Rhinolophus ferrumequinum: one gene and its partner. The protein of the gene in region 1 interacts with the protein of each later gene in a pairwise test. Links are inferred from orthologs where the notes say so. Each region holds a gene or a part of one and is shown on either strand. Other genes may lie near its edges.

What was found. The genes of interacting proteins can lie anywhere in the genome.
Region 2: the proteins of BRAP (region 1) and NUMA1 interact in a two-hybrid assay, tested with the Homo sapiens proteins (2 studies listed by BioGRID and IntAct). The link is inferred for Rhinolophus ferrumequinum from reciprocal best matches to the Homo sapiens genes BRAP and NUMA1.

Annotation. Positions count from the first base shown.
Region 1 is NC_046308.1:6,973,316-6,980,955, forward strand, and holds the start of BRAP (BRCA1-associated protein), read right to left. Parts: upstream 3,277-7,640; 5' UTR 3,085-3,276; coding exon 3,003-3,084; intron 1,243-3,002; coding exon 1,081-1,242; intron 132-1,080; coding exon 1-131. Other genes in the region: ACAD10 (acyl-CoA dehydrogenase family member 10), read left to right, coding at 3,585-3,631, 7,127-7,323. UniProt on the Homo sapiens protein: Negatively regulates MAP kinase activation by limiting the formation of Raf/MEK complexes probably by inactivation of the KSR1 scaffold protein.
Region 2 is NC_046294.1:47,675,400-47,682,840, forward strand, and holds the start of NUMA1 (nuclear mitotic apparatus protein 1), read right to left. Parts: upstream 3,091-7,441; 5' UTR 3,004-3,090; intron 2,977-3,003; exon of another isoform or gene 2,860-2,976; intron 1-2,859. UniProt on the Homo sapiens protein: Microtubule (MT)-binding protein that plays a role in the formation and maintenance of the spindle poles and the alignement and the segregation of chromosomes during mitotic cell division.

The DNA of each region.
Region 1 (7,640 bases):
CTGATCTGGAAGCTGTTTGGACGGAGAATCGGGAGCAGCGTTAATGCTTTCTTCACTTTGATCTTTACTTCTCTGTGCAGTCGGGGACGCTTCTGAAGACTTTCCTTCTTCCATGGTAGCTTTCAGCTCATCTTTCACAAATCAAAAATTAGCAGATGATAAACTGACAGGAAATATGCTGAAGGATTCTAATTAGACTAAAATTTTGATTCAGAAGAATAAATTTTGACAGAGAAATTATAATGTGTTACATTAAGAACTATATTAACATGGGGGCTGCTGGATGGCTCAGTTGGTTAGAGCATGAGCTCTCAACGACAAGGTTGTCAGTTCAATTCCCGCATGGGAGGGTGGGCTGTGCCCCCTGCAACTGAGATTGAAAACGGCAACTGGACTTGGAGCTGAGCCACGCCCTCCACAACTAGACTGAAGGACAACGACTTGGAGCTGATGGGCCCTTGGAGAAACACACTGTTCCCCAATATTCCCCAATTTAAAAAAAAAAAAAAAAAAAAGGCCTATATTCACAGAACAGTGTTTGGGGCATCTCAACCAAAAAGTGCTCTTTGCCCCATAAAAGTTTTATTAATAGCCTCAGAAACTCAAGGATGGCTCTTACATTTGTCAGGAAGACAATAAAAGCAGGTGTCTTCCATCACGCACTCCTAAGTGGGACAAACATTCAAGGCTGTTAAGTGTGAAAACCAAACCTCCCAGTTCTAAGCACCTCCATGCTAGAGATGTGCTACCCATCCACTCCTCCGGGTGGAGTGAGCTGGCAGAGCAGGCAGGGAGAGACACACATGCTTATCTGCATTTATGCATGATTTGCCACTGACCTAGGTGGTAAGCAGCTCTCCTCACTGAATAGAGTTGTCAACCCAGCTTGCTAGGATTAATTTAGGAGAAATATTTGGAGAAGCTGAAACGTGGTTCGACAATCTCAGGTAAGGCGGCACACAGTCAGTGAAAGAGAGAAGCATGCTAGAGGGCAAAATCATGGGCTCACTGACTAACATGTAAAACAGGCAACCAGGGGCTTACATTACAAAACAGGGTGTAAGATTTTAGAAAGGATACCTGGGTTGGACTTCATGGTCTCAATGATCATATCTGTCATTTCTCGACGGCCAAGATGCTGATGTATGACTGCTGCTTTCTCCCCTGGTGACTTCCCTTCTAAACAGGCTACAGCTGAAGCTAGTGTCTTCTTTTTGATCTCCTCATCAGACATTTCCCCAGCTAAAGAACACATGAATGATTAATACCTGATAATAAAACGGGCTCCTCTCCACTCTCGATGTACCCACCAATAGGTTTCCTTTTTCTCTCTGCTTCCTTCCCCGAAGATATTAAGATGCCTTTGCAGTGCCCATCTCACTCACCTCTGGGGCTCCTGCAGTACCAAGCAGACAGTCAATAAACACCCAGTGCAATAAATTCAGAAATGCAGGACTGTTCCAGTGAAACGATTCACTTTAAAGCAAACCAATGAGAGTAAGAGCTTAAAGAAAGGTTTGAGAATGATTATACCCAGATGAGCCAACTTTTTTGTAATACCTGGTAAAGTACAACTGTGTATTGAGCCCAAAGGAAGGTATCAAGTCATTATCATTAAAAAGTAAAACTTTCAAAACCCGTTAGGGGTAGTCTACTTAAACCACCTATGTTAACCTCATGCCATGAATTGTATTATGAAAATCGGCAATCACTGTCTTCAATCAGTGAAACACAAAAATGGAAAAGGAATTTGGAGACTCAACTGAAATACCCTTAAGATAAGTTCTATCAGGGCAGGGACAAGGCCTACTTTGCCCACCACTTACACCACAGTGCCTAGCACACACTGGAAGCTTTTTAAAGATTTACTGAATGACCAAATGAATCAATGACCCACCCATGTAGAAGTGTGTATGTGGCAAATGAGGACTTGGCTGACTTTCAGAACTCAGAGATCACTTTTAGCCTTTGGAAAGTGTCCATCGTAACTCATTAAATCATATTCAATCTTTACTTTGCAGCTCTAAAATTCACATACTCGGGAAAGTTTCCAATGACACCATCCCTACGGGCTCTAGTTCCCCTCCCCAAACCAAACACATCCTCTTGTAATAGTTCTCCACACTGTTTCTTTCTTACCTTCACAGCACGTACCACACTTCTAATTCTACCTTTATTTTGTAACTCATCTGTCTTCCCCAATGAACTGCCGGGGCCAATAAAGCAGGGATTCTGATCCTGCACACAACTAAAGCTCCGGCAGACAGTAGCATTCAACAAGTATTTCTTGAATGAATGTTGTCAGGTAATTGTTTGAGGAACAGTCATAGCTGCCTTTCTCTCCTAAGGAGGTTGTGTGGCCGGTAAGGAACAGCTCCGACTCTTCAAGTCCAGCTCTCTGAATCAGAATCCCAGTTTCACCACTTACAGATAATCGTGGGCAACTCATTCAATCACCTGGCTTCAGTTTCCCAATTTGTATGTAAAAAGGGGCATCTACCCATGTAACCTAATAAGAGTTGTTAATTAAAGACAAGACGCACAGGTACAGAGCTGGGATACAGGAAATGCACAAATGTGAATTATTAATGATCGCTATTGTTACAAGAAGCCTGAGTGAATACATTTTCAAAGAGGAACGATTTAATTAAACCAAGGACCCTCATCGTCGCTGAAATCCAGTCCCTGCCTTCACAAAGCCAAGAGGAAAACAACTTACAAAACTCGACTGTAACCCAGGGCGGAGGCGACGCGCCAGGTAGAAACAGAGTGCCCGTGGGAAGGCACCAAGAGGGAGGGACCGGGAAGGGCGTCCCAGCGTCCACACCTGGGAAGGCCTCTTCAGGAAGGATGGAGTGAGAGGGAACCGGCCCCCTCTTTGCTTCTTCCCGAAGAAACAGCTCTCGCCGAGGCCTTTCCCGGAGCCCGTACTTTAGGAGGACCAGCTCCCCCCGGGGCCCAGGCGCGAGCAACAGGGAAGGCGGCGAGGCCGCGGGACTTACCCGCGGCGCTGAAGCCGAAGCCGGCGGGGACGGGCGAGTGTTCTGCGAGCTCCAGACGGATAACAACCAGTGACACACTCATAGGGCAGGCGCTGGCCGGCGCGGGCCCCGGCGGGCTCAGGAGAGGCTGGGACGCGAGCCGACAGGCCGAGCGGCCCGGTGTGAGCAGCGCCGCCGCCACCACCTCAGCGCCACTGCCGCCGCCTCAGCAGCAGCAGCAGCAGATCCTCGCACAACCCTCAGCGCCACAACAACTTCCACTTCCGCCTCCCGGCCGCCGTCGCTGACCCGCAGGGTTACGCATGCGCAGACCAGCACGCGCCCTGATTGGCTGGGGTGGAAGTGAGTCTGAGCCTAAACCTGCCTGACGGGATCGGGAGCAGGTTGGGAAGGAGGGACGCCGCGGGCCCTGTTAGGCCGATCGGTAGGTGTGCGCCCTGGTCTCGCCTTCAGCCTGTCTCAGCAGACGGCGGAACGTCTCCGTCCCCGCGAGTTCTCCTAATGGTCCGAGAAACCCGCGCTCAGTCGAGAGCCCTTGTGCCTTTCTGTTTTATTTGACCGCTAGCTCTAGCTCAAGGCTGGATGCTTTGTGTCAGCCCCACTTTACAGATAGGTTCGCTGAGACTCAGGTAAATGCGCTTCTCTGAGGGCCCGCGGGGAGTAAGGACTGGATTGCAGTGTCTCCATCGCTGTTAGGGTAGGGCGGTGGGTTTGTTAAGTGTCCAGTGCTGGAGATAGATCTGGGTCCTACTCCCGCCCCATCACTTCACAAACGTTTACTGAGAGCCTAGTCATTGTTGGTGTGGTGAGGAAGTGACCTGGGAGCGGACCCTTCTCGGCGCCCTGTCCAGGTTCTTGGTATCTCCAGCAAAGAATTGAATGAGACACAGAAATACACTGGTGAAAGAGCAGTTTATTAGAAGTGCAAGTACACTCCAAAGAGAGATAGGAGTGGGCCTGAGCCACAGAGTGGCTCAAAAGGCGCTGACTGGTGAGGACTTGGAGTTTTTATTTCCTTCTCTTCTAGAATGGGCTGCTCCTCTCTAATTGTGGGGCTGCTTGGTTGATACCTGTGATTGATAATGGCTAATGGTTATGGTAAACAAGGGCAAGTTTGGGCGGAGAGCCGAGGTCTTTTGGGTGGTTATTTCTTGTAGACTGTTGGAAGTGGAGGAATGTTACCTGCTGTATCCAGGTGTCTCAGAGACCCAATTCCTGCCTCTAACAGCCTGCTTTATGTCCCCCATGAGAGATGTGATCCCGGTAAGTCTCTGTGGGACATTGAGGAACAGGAGATCTCTTCTGTATCTGCTTCCTGCTGAATGTGGCCGTTGTCCCTGCCTATTGGGGATTCACGGGACTCTCGCCCTATCTGATCTTAGATGAGGGTAAGGGATCTTGGGATCCACCTGGAGGACTATGTTGACCTCTGTGGTCAGAATGTACTGGAAGTCTTGGTGGGGCATCCTAATGGACCCGACATGAGGAGAGATAGATTTTAGTTAATAGAGTTAAAAGTGTTGGTCCAACGAGCAGGACAGAAAGCCACTGACGCAGGGAGACTGTGTGACGAATAATTTGTTCAGCTTCATGGAGCCTGTGGTCTTTCTTCTGGTTTAATCGGTCATTCAGTTATTGTTTACCCAGGAGGTAGGCCTGGAAAGAACGCTCTGCTACAATGACAATAATCAACAAGATAAATCACAACAAGCATAAATCACAAGATTTAGGGGACTTAAAGGAGGGGGTAGGATATTTCTATGATTCAAGTTAAAAACAATCTATTGTTTACGATTAAGAAACTGATTTGAGAAATGATTCCAACCAGGGACTAGGGAGCTAAGACATTAGGGAAAAGGAGACTTAAAGTTTTTATAGTGAGGAGGCTCTCCAGTATCACTTCTGTATTTCTGCCTGACTTGTGAATTCCACATGATATAAATATGAGGTCTGACAAGTAAGTTCCTGAACTCATCCTAGAAAAAGTGCTACATACCTCATGGCTGAATATCACTTCTGTCACCTTTGAAGTATGCCCCTTGGGAAGCTACGCACTGATGCCAGCACCTCATCCACCCTTCAAAGCAATGTTGGAACTCTTTTTCTGGAATGGCCATCAGAGCAGTCGTCGTATTACCCTTGATGTCCTGAAAGTCATCCAAATGTCTTCTTTTCAATATTTCCTTTATCTTCCAGTAAAGAAAGAAGTCACTGGGGGCCAGATCAGGTGAGCAGGGAGGGTGTTGCAATACAGTGATTTGTTTACTGGCTCAAAACTCCCTCACAGACAGTGCCGTGTGAGCTGATGCATTGTCGTGATGCAAGAGCCATGAATTGTTAGGGAAAAGTTCAGGTCGTCTAACTTTTTCATGCAGCCTTTTCAGCACTTCCACATAGTAAACTTGGTTAACTGTCCAGTCGGTACAAATTCATAATGAATAATCCCTCTGATAGCAAAAAGATTAGCAATATCATTGCAACAAGTTTGTGAACTTAATTGTCAGACCTTGTATGTGTGTGTGTTGTGTATGTTTTTTCCTGAACCTTTTGAAAGTAAGTTTAGAAAAGAGGCAATGGAGAACAAGAGGCCATTGCAGTGATGGTCTGAAGGCGGGATGATGGTGTGACGGTGGCATCCTTGTTTCTAGGAGGAGGTGAATACAGGGTATCTTAGGAATATACAGGAAAGACTCCTCATCTGTCTTTTCTGGTAGCCAGAAGAGGTTTCAGGAAGGAAGTGACAGGTAAACTACCACCTACAGGACAGTTTGGAGTTAGCCAGGTTACAGGTGGAAGGTAGCTTCCTAGGCCAAGAAAACAGCATATGAAAGGCCTAGGAGCAGGAGGAGAATATTGTTTCAGGAAGGTGCATGTAGATTTATTTGTCTAGATCATCCAGGTTAAGGTGTAGAAAGAGGGGACACAGATCTTAAAGGTCCTTTTCAGTCAGGTTCAGGAAGTTTATCATAAGAGTAATGGGTCTCGTGGTGTGGAATTAACCCCTGGTCATTCACAAAAGGTGAAAGCATTCACACAAAACACACAAAGTGGGAAAGAAGAAAGGTTTTATTATTAAAGTTAGGAAGAGAGAAAGTGCCCTTGGCAGTGTCCAAAGATGTCGGCTGCCACAGGCTGTAAGGAGAGAAACAGGGGCGGGGGGGTGTAGGAGGGAGGGTGTCGCCAGGGCAGAGTCCGGAGTCTGAGAGTGGGCTGCTGCACTAACTTCAGGTTAGCTTTTCCTTATATAGGAAAGTGGGAGTCGGTCAGGCAGGTCTGAGGGCTGACATCCTTCCTGGGGTCTGGTCTGTTTGGAGACGATGTTAGCTCTGGACTCAGCCTTGGCCCTTGCGACTGTGCATCACCAGTAAAACCTGCAAGAAGTTGTAGATGGGATTCCAGTGTCCCAGTGCCTAAGGATTAAGAAACTGCTCTTTTCAGGTTAGGATGTTGTTAATTAACAAGGTACGGGTAGCCTGAGGAAAGGCACAGAGTTCTTCAGTCAATCAGTGAGGGGAGAAGCAACGAGAAAACAGATGAGTATCAGGATGGATCAAACTGCAAGCAAACTAAGTCTAATGACAGGTGGCTAGATAGTGAGCTATGCGGTGAGTGAAGTTGGAAACTAGCTAAGTTTAACTGCGCTATTGATTCCCTGAATTTCACCCTCACAATGGGGAGCCATAGGAGGTTTCAAACTTGCAGTGTTGAAAGATTCCTCGGTTGAAGAGTGAAGGAAAAATGAGGAGGTTCAAGAAGAGGCGAGCGGGCCGTTTAGGAGGCTGTTGCCATGATCTGTGGGTGAGGTCATGGCAGTGAGAGCGGAGAGAGGTAGTAGAGATTTTCAGGAGGAAGAACTGAGCAACTGGAGTTGAGGTTGCCGGGTGGGGACTCAGGGACATCAGGGGCGAATCCCAGTTTTCCAGCTTGGGCAGTTAGGTGACTGGTGGAGCCTTTTACTGAGCTATGGACCCCAGAAGGAGTAGTCAAGGAGGGCAGAGATACCGAGTTTAATTCCGGTTGTGGTTTGAAGCGTTGGAGGTCAGTGGAGATGTCCAGTTGGCACCCCTGAGCTCCAGGGGGGGAGTCTGGATTGGAGGCAAACTGCCCTGTGCCTTCTCACGCAGCCTTGGCCACAACATGTGCATAAGGCGGCTTTTCCAGTCCCCTCTCCAGTGGGCTTGGAGGGCAGCCTTCCTGAAACACAACCAGTGCAGGCACCAGGCAGCCCGGCGATGGACTCGTTCTGGAGGCGGCCCCTACAGAGCGGTGATTTTTGACATGGGTGGAGTTCTCATTCCGTCTCCAGGGACAGTGGCTGCAGGTGAGCTCTTCGTTCTATTTCATTTTTGGAGACTAGGCTGGGGGTGGGGGAATAGAGGGTATAAGGGGAGAAAGAGGAACATTTGGGCAGCACATTGTCCCAGTGGGTGATACTCTGGCTCTTGAATCAAATTTCAAGCATGACTTAGTCGCTGAGATACTCAGCAACTTGGGCAAATTATTCAACTTCTCTGAGTCTTAGTTCCCTCATCATCAAATTAGGGCTATTAATAGTACCTACCTACCTCTGGGGTTTGAGGAGTGTGAAATAAGATAATCCATGGAAAGCACTTGCTTAGCATAGTGAGCTTCAATTCT
Region 2 (7,441 bases), on another chromosome or scaffold:
AGGAAATAAAGATATTTTCCAACAAAGAGGGTTTACTATTAACAGATCGTCACTAAAAAACAAAAACACTTGAAGGATACATTTGTCTGCTTGACACAAAAGGATGGAATGACATGCAAGAAAGAATGGTGAAAAAACAAAGAATAAACATACATGGGTTGGGGCAGCCGGTTGGCTCAGTTGGTTAGAGCGCAGTGCTCACAGCACCAGGGTCACCGGTTGGATCCCCACATGGGCCAGTGGGCTGTGCTCTCCACAACTACATTGTAAACGACGACTTGACTTGGAGCTGATGGGTCCTGGAAAAACACACTGTTCCCCAATATTCCCCAATAAAAATTTAAAAGAAAATATACATGGGTAAAATAAAATTGTCACCAACAGCACATAACAATAATTATTAATTAGTATTGCTCAACGTTGATATGGACTGCCTGAGTGGTCTCATTCTTGTAAGTGTTCATTTCGAATATGGACAACACCTTTTTTTAAAACTTTTATTTGGGGCCGCCCGGTGGCTCAGGCGGTTAGAGCTCCATGCTCCTAAACTCTGAAGGCTGCCGGTTCGATTCCCACATGGGCCAGTAGGCTCTCAACCACAAGGTTGCCAGCTCAATTCCTTGAGTCCCAAGGGATGGTGGGCAGCGCCCCCTGCAACTAAGATTGCACACAGCACCTTGAGCTGAGCTGCCGGTGAGCTCCCGGATGGCTCAGTTGGTGGAAGCGCGTCCTTTCAACTACAAGGTTGCCGGTTCGACTCCCACAAGGGATGGTGGGCTGCGCCTCCTGCAACTAGCAACGGCAACTGGACCTGGAGCTGAGCTGCGCCCTCCACAACTAAGACTGAAAGGACAACAACTTGACTTGGAAAAAAAGTCCTGGAAGTACACCCTGTTCCCCAATAAAGTCCTGTCCCTCTTCCCCAATAAAATCTTTAAAAAAAAAAAAAAAAAGCTTTTATTTATTTTAAGTGTGTTTTTCCACGATCTATCAGCTCCAAGTCAAGTAGTTGTTTCATCTAGTTATGGAGGGCGCAGCTCACAGTGGCCCATATGGGGATTGAACTGGGCCGTTCAATCCCGGCCGTTAAGAGCACTGGGTTCTAACCAACTGAGCTAACCGGCCACCCCTGGACAACATCTTTTCATATATTAGTGTACACTGGGTAAGAGGCTGAAATAAATGATTCCAAACATATCTATTGACCGTAAGGTGTTATCAATTAGACACAGCTGTCAAACATTCCTTGATCAGCTCTGTTTAGCCATCTGAAGCAGGGCATTGCCCCCATCTTAAGAGTTCTAGAAGCTGAGTCTTCTAGGCATTCTTCCCACTCCCATATTCCATAAACAAAAAAGAATATTCTTTTTTTTTAATGAAAGTTTATTGGGGTGACAATTGTTAGTAAAGTTACATAGATTTCAGGTGTACAGTTCTGTATTACATCGTCTATAGATCACATTTTGTGTTCACCACCCAGAGTCAGTTCTCCTTCCATCACCATATATTTGATCCCCTAAAAAAGAATATTCTAAATAGAAATGTTTATTATGTGAACTTTTGGGTAAGATCTTCTAGTTTGGGGGTGGGGTAGAGTTTTTGGCTTTAGATAAAAATTCTGGCATTACAATTAGTCATCATTTGCTTGAATTTGAGTCAAGAGTCCTTTTACAGAGAAGTACTTGTATGTGCCTCTTCCTCTACAGGAGAAAATACCACACAGGAACAGACGGAGGGAACACATCCACTCATCCCTGCTGACTGAAAGCTACCTTAAATGATCTGAACATTCCCTCCAAGTTCCCATACAGATCTCCCCAAGGTAGAGGGCCCCAATTCCCTTACTATCAAAAGTTTCTGCCTACCACAGAGTAACACACTTGACAATCTAGAACTTTGGAAATACAAGATCAGGCAACAGACCTCAGAGAGCGAAGCATGGATTAAAGCAAGTATATATCACATTTTCAAGAGGCAGTGCCATTCCAGGCAAGAGGACTGTATTAATAAAGGTTCAAAGGCCACTAAATGAAAATGGGAAAGCCAGGCTCCTATCCCCTTTCAGCCCAAGAAAGCTCATTCATTTCAAAGCATGCATTAATGGCCATGCCATAGGCATCACAATACAGGGACAAAGGGCACTGTTTCTAGAAGGGCAAACATGCAGACAGACACTCTTAGGTTACTAGATGAAAAGCGCTACATCAGGAAGCAAAAGAGGGCACCGAGAGGGCTCTTTCCCACCAACAACCTTCACAGTAACTTTATAGTCATAAATTTATACTCCCCAAGATGCTTCCACAGAACACCTTACGTGATTTGACCCTCAAAACAACCCCAAGAAGTAGGTAAGGCAGGTAGGTTCGTTGTTTACATATATGAAAAGTGAGACAAAATAAATTGATTCCTCCAAGACAATCTGCACCCACAGACAAAGCCCTTCCTCCCTCCGGTCCTCATTTAGGCCCAACCCTCAAAATCCCCAGTAGTCGACCATGCACTAGCTATGTAATCCTGGCCAAGTTAAACCTCAGATGACCCATCTGCAGTAAAGTATAATAAGGTTGTTAGCAATATTAACAAGACGATCCATACAAAGCATGTGGCACAGTGTCTGGCACGTAGCTGGTGCTCAGAAAATGTTTACCACTACTATTACCACTACTATTGTTAGTAATAGGCGAAGACTTCCCATTAAAGGACCCCTCGTGACGAGTCTTTCAGGAATCTGCCCTACCCACGCCCACCCCCCACCGTCACTCTCAGACATAATTCCACAGACACGCCCCCAAGCACTCTTCCCCTCCCCCCAAGCACGCCCAGCCCCTCCCCTTCCGACAGACCCCTCCCCTCACAAACCTTACTCCCAATAGAGTCTCCCCAGTCAGACTCCGTTACGCAGGAGGCCTATCGCTGGCACCTGCCTCTCCAGCACCCCCTCTAGGCCTGTGCATTCCTGTGGGCGCCCAGGCCGAACGCCAACCGCGGGCCCGCGCCGGTTACCTGGCCGCGCGCTCCCGCTCCGCCTCCCGTTTCCTCCGATCGCGTTTGACGCGGGCTCGCGCCAGCGCGGAGCGCACAATTAGTTTAAACTATGGCCCCGCCCCCTCGCACCGCCCTCTGATAGGCTCCTGTCGGCTGGTATGCACGCAAGGGCACGCTTAAGGACCCGGGAAAAGGAAGTGTGAGGGCCACTGGGAAAGGAGAAGGGGTGTCACTACTTCCGGACCCCCGCCTCGACTTGAGAGCAAAGACTACAAATCTCAGCACATCCGCGGCCTTAGAACCCCGCCCCTGACGAACTACAGCTCCCGGTAGGCATCGCGGCAGCGCCTACGGCGCCTGGCCGAGATGTACTAGCGAAGGTAGTTACCATGGAGTTGCGCTGGGTAACCCTGAGGTAGTGAGTGGGACGCCAAGGCTGGAAGGGCAGCAACTGCGGGTGAGTCCAGCGGGAAAATAGGGAACCCGTTCCAGGGAACAGAAGCTCTATGGAGAGGGGAGGGTCATTTCTTTTCTCGGGGACCAGAGACCCCTTCCCCCCCAAAACCCTTACCTCCTTTCACAGTGGACAAGACTCTACACCCATACGGAATAGAAGGGCGCGGAGGAGAGAGAAGGGCGCTGACATACCCGTACAGATTCGGGAGTGCTTAAGAACCTGCCCCATCACAAACATGGGGCCCCCTAATACGAATGCCTCAAATCTCTGACACAGCGTGGGATATTTGAAACGCCCTGATATAGGGTTAGTTTTCCTGATGAACTGAGACGCTCTTCAAGACATGGGAGTAATATCAGAAAAAGACACAGGCCCTAATACTGGAGACGTATGAAAATTTATGGGGCTTGCACTGCCCCTTTCCTTTCAAGCAAGAAGACTCCAGGGTAGAGCCTGCTTCTCAGTCTCAAAGGGATCTTTCCACACTTACTAGGGATCCTGTCCCCAAATTACCGCTTTTCCCTACACCCTCCATGATGGGATTCTCTAACCTCCATGGTTAGAGCTTCATTCCTTTTAGTCTTCATGACAGATCTGTTACATTTAGCAATGTAGCGCTTTTACATCCAGTGTCTCTTTTGAGCTTCACGAGTCAAGGATATTTATCCCCATTTCACAGATTGTAAAACTGAAACCCAGAGTGGTGCAGTGACTTGCCCAAGGCCACACACCAAATCAGTGACAGCCGGGACTAGACCCTAGTGTGCTAACTTCCAGCCAAGTCTGTAACTTGAGTCTACAGCCTCTCTAGCCTAAGACTTGTTCCAACGAGTCAGAATTGCCCAGAGAAAAGAAACCTGTGTGGCCCACATTGGATTATGTACACATCAACCTGAATGAGTTTCACATCCTTCCTTAAAAGTTTAAATGGGAAAGAAAACTAGAGACTGAAGACAATGGAAAACATTTAACTAAATAGGAAAGTCTGGCTACACAGCACCTACATCTGATACTGCCATGATTCGCTGGTTTCTGGCTGGCTTCTAGTTAGCCCTGATTGGTCCACTTACTGATTGGTTCCTGAGCTGTTAAAGTCCCCTTAGGCTCCTTCAGGATATTTCAAAGACAACTCGAACTCTACATATCTGCAACTGAACTCATAATCCATGTACTCCAAACCTGAGTCTCTTCCAGTGTTCTCACCTGTATCCACCATTAAAGAAGTAAAAAACCCAAGTGTTATCCTTAATTCCTCTTATATTTCCCATCCATTATAAAGTCCTATCAGCTTTACTTCTATAGTCCTATCATCACATCTTTCCTGCCTTCCCTCCCAGCCATTTTTTTAAAAACTTTTATTTAAGTGTGTTTTTCCAGGACCCATCAGCTCCAAGTCAAGTAGCTGTCTCAATCTAGTTGTGGAGGGCGCAGCTCACAGTGGCCCCTGTGGGAATCGAACCAGCAACCTTGTTAAGAGCACTGCGCTTTAACCAACTGAGCTAACCAGCCGACCCCCCCCGCCATTTTGCATATTGCAACCAGAGTAATCCATATCAAATGTAAATTTGATACTGTTCACTTCCCCCCGCCCACCCCCATTTCAGAATTGACCTTCTTATTGCTCTTAGCATCAATCAACATCGCAGCCTGGCTCCCATCCACCTCTACAGCCTCCAGTCTAACCATACATATCCCTCCCTTTCTTCCCTCCAGTTATATGACCTTCTTTAAAGTAACTTCTCACCCATAGAGCCTTTGTACATGCTGTTATTTCTGTCTGGAGTGTTCATCTTTCCCCCCTTCTATAGTTGATTTGTATTTCTCCTCAATCTCTTCTCTCAATCACTTCTTTAAAAATGTCTTCTCTGACTGCTCAGACCAGGTCAGATCCCTCAGTTATGGTAACCTCATGTTCCTCTCCTTTGTAGTATTATTCACTCGCAATTTTTTATGTATTTGTTAAGCAGTTACTACTTGCCACCGTGGTAGGGATAGAACTATGAAAAAAAAAAACATGGTTCCTGCCCTGGTGCAGTTTATGGACATACAGATAGTAAGCAGAGCACCCTAGTGTCATGGGTGCTACCGTAGCAGTACATATAGGGTATTTGGGGAGCCCAAAAGAGAAGTTCCACATCTAAGATTTGGGCATAAGGGTAAACGCCTCAGAAAAGGTGAAACCTGAGCTGAGTCATGAAGAATTAGCAAGGTGAAAGGAGGAAGAAACTATTCGGAGCAGAGAAAGCTGGATGTGCAGAGACCCAGAGGCAGCGGAGGGAACTTCCTGTACCTGCATTTGGCTGGGCTGCCGAATTGGAGCAGAGGATAGGAGACGGGAGCAGAGAGGTGGGCAGGAGCCAGGTTGAATCTGGGCCTCCCTTTGGCACCTGGAAACATAACCTTTCAGAACACATTCGGTAATTTGGCAGACTTTTCATGACATTGATTTTTACTTCCACCTGTAACTCATAAACAGAAACCCTCTCTAAGCCAGGCTGTTAAACCTCCTATCTGATCTCATCTGATTGTTTCCTAAAAGCTTCATGTTGCTACTTACCTGGAAGAGGAAAGGAATAGGCTACTAACAAATGAAATTCCAGTTGTTAGTAATTTCCAAAAGCTGAAAACAAATTTCCATCAACTTGGGATTGGTTAAATAAAGTATGGTACACACAAATTCTATGGAATACAGCTGTTAAAAAGGGTAAGAGTGTACAATTTGAAAAGGAAAAAATAAGTTTACAAAGGAATAGACAGTATGTGTTTATTTTAAAATATATATAATTTTGTTACATATGTCTTCTAGGAGAGTATATTCCCAAACTTAATCATTTTTAGAGAGTCAGGCTTTTAGTTTCCATTTGATGTACTTCTGTATGTTGTTGACTTTATTCAGCTATCATGTTAACTTTAAAATTAAAAAAGAAAAAAAGTAAAAGATATTTCTAATTTGGAAAAGAAAAATTCCATAACAAGGCAGGTATGCCCCTAACCCTGTCATTCAAGTCCATCAGTCTGAACAGATGAGGAAGGCGGCCCAGGATCTGACTTGCTCCTGGTCATGAGGCAGAACAGCAGCTGGGAAAGACTGAATCCAAAAACACAGGCACCGGAATAAGCAAGGCAGACTAGGGCTTTGGCAGTTCTCCCCAGCAGTCAGGCTCACTGTCTGACACCTTGAAGACGTCATTCATTTATTCCTTTTCTTCTTTCATTTTTCCATTTATCCATCAAGCCGTTAGTGAATACCCACTCTTTGCCAGGCTCACTACAGGGTAATGGTGGGAAGTGAGAAAGAAGTCTGACTTCTATCCCTGTCTTTAAGCCTACAGGAAGGGAATGGGAAGTAGGTTACAAAGAAATGAGTTGAGTGTACAGTTGCTTCAATTTATTGAGCACCTGCTGCAGGATATACAACAGCTCTCAAGATGGGGTTTTTCTCATTTTACAGATGAAGAAACAGGCTGTGATAAAATTTTGTTTAAAGTACAGTGGGGGCATCTGTCTGTTTAGTTACTGCTGTATAAAAAAACATACAAAAGTATAGTGGCTTAAAGCAATAAGCATTATTGCTTTCAAGTCTCTGCCTCAGTTTCTTCTGGCCTTGGCTGGGCCCTCTCGTGTCTGCAGCCACCTGTGGGCCGGGTGACTCTCCTGACCTTGACTTGGGGTAGGTTGGCTATTAGGCTAGTCTGGGTGGTCTCAGCTGGGATCACTGGCTCTCTTTCACTTATCTCTCACCTGCACGTGTTCCTCATATCCCTCCAGCAGGCTAGCCATGTTCTCTTGGCACTGGCAAAGTGCAAGAGTGCAAGCCCTCTTTTAAGCTTCGATTTGCTTCATGTTTACCAACATCCCATTAGCCAAAGCAAGTCACATGGCCGAGCCCAGCATCAGAGTGAATGGAACTAAACGTTATAGGGCAAAAGGGATGGAAATGGGAGACCATGAATAGGGATTAAGAGAATCAATCTAACACAGGACACATTGATCGATTTT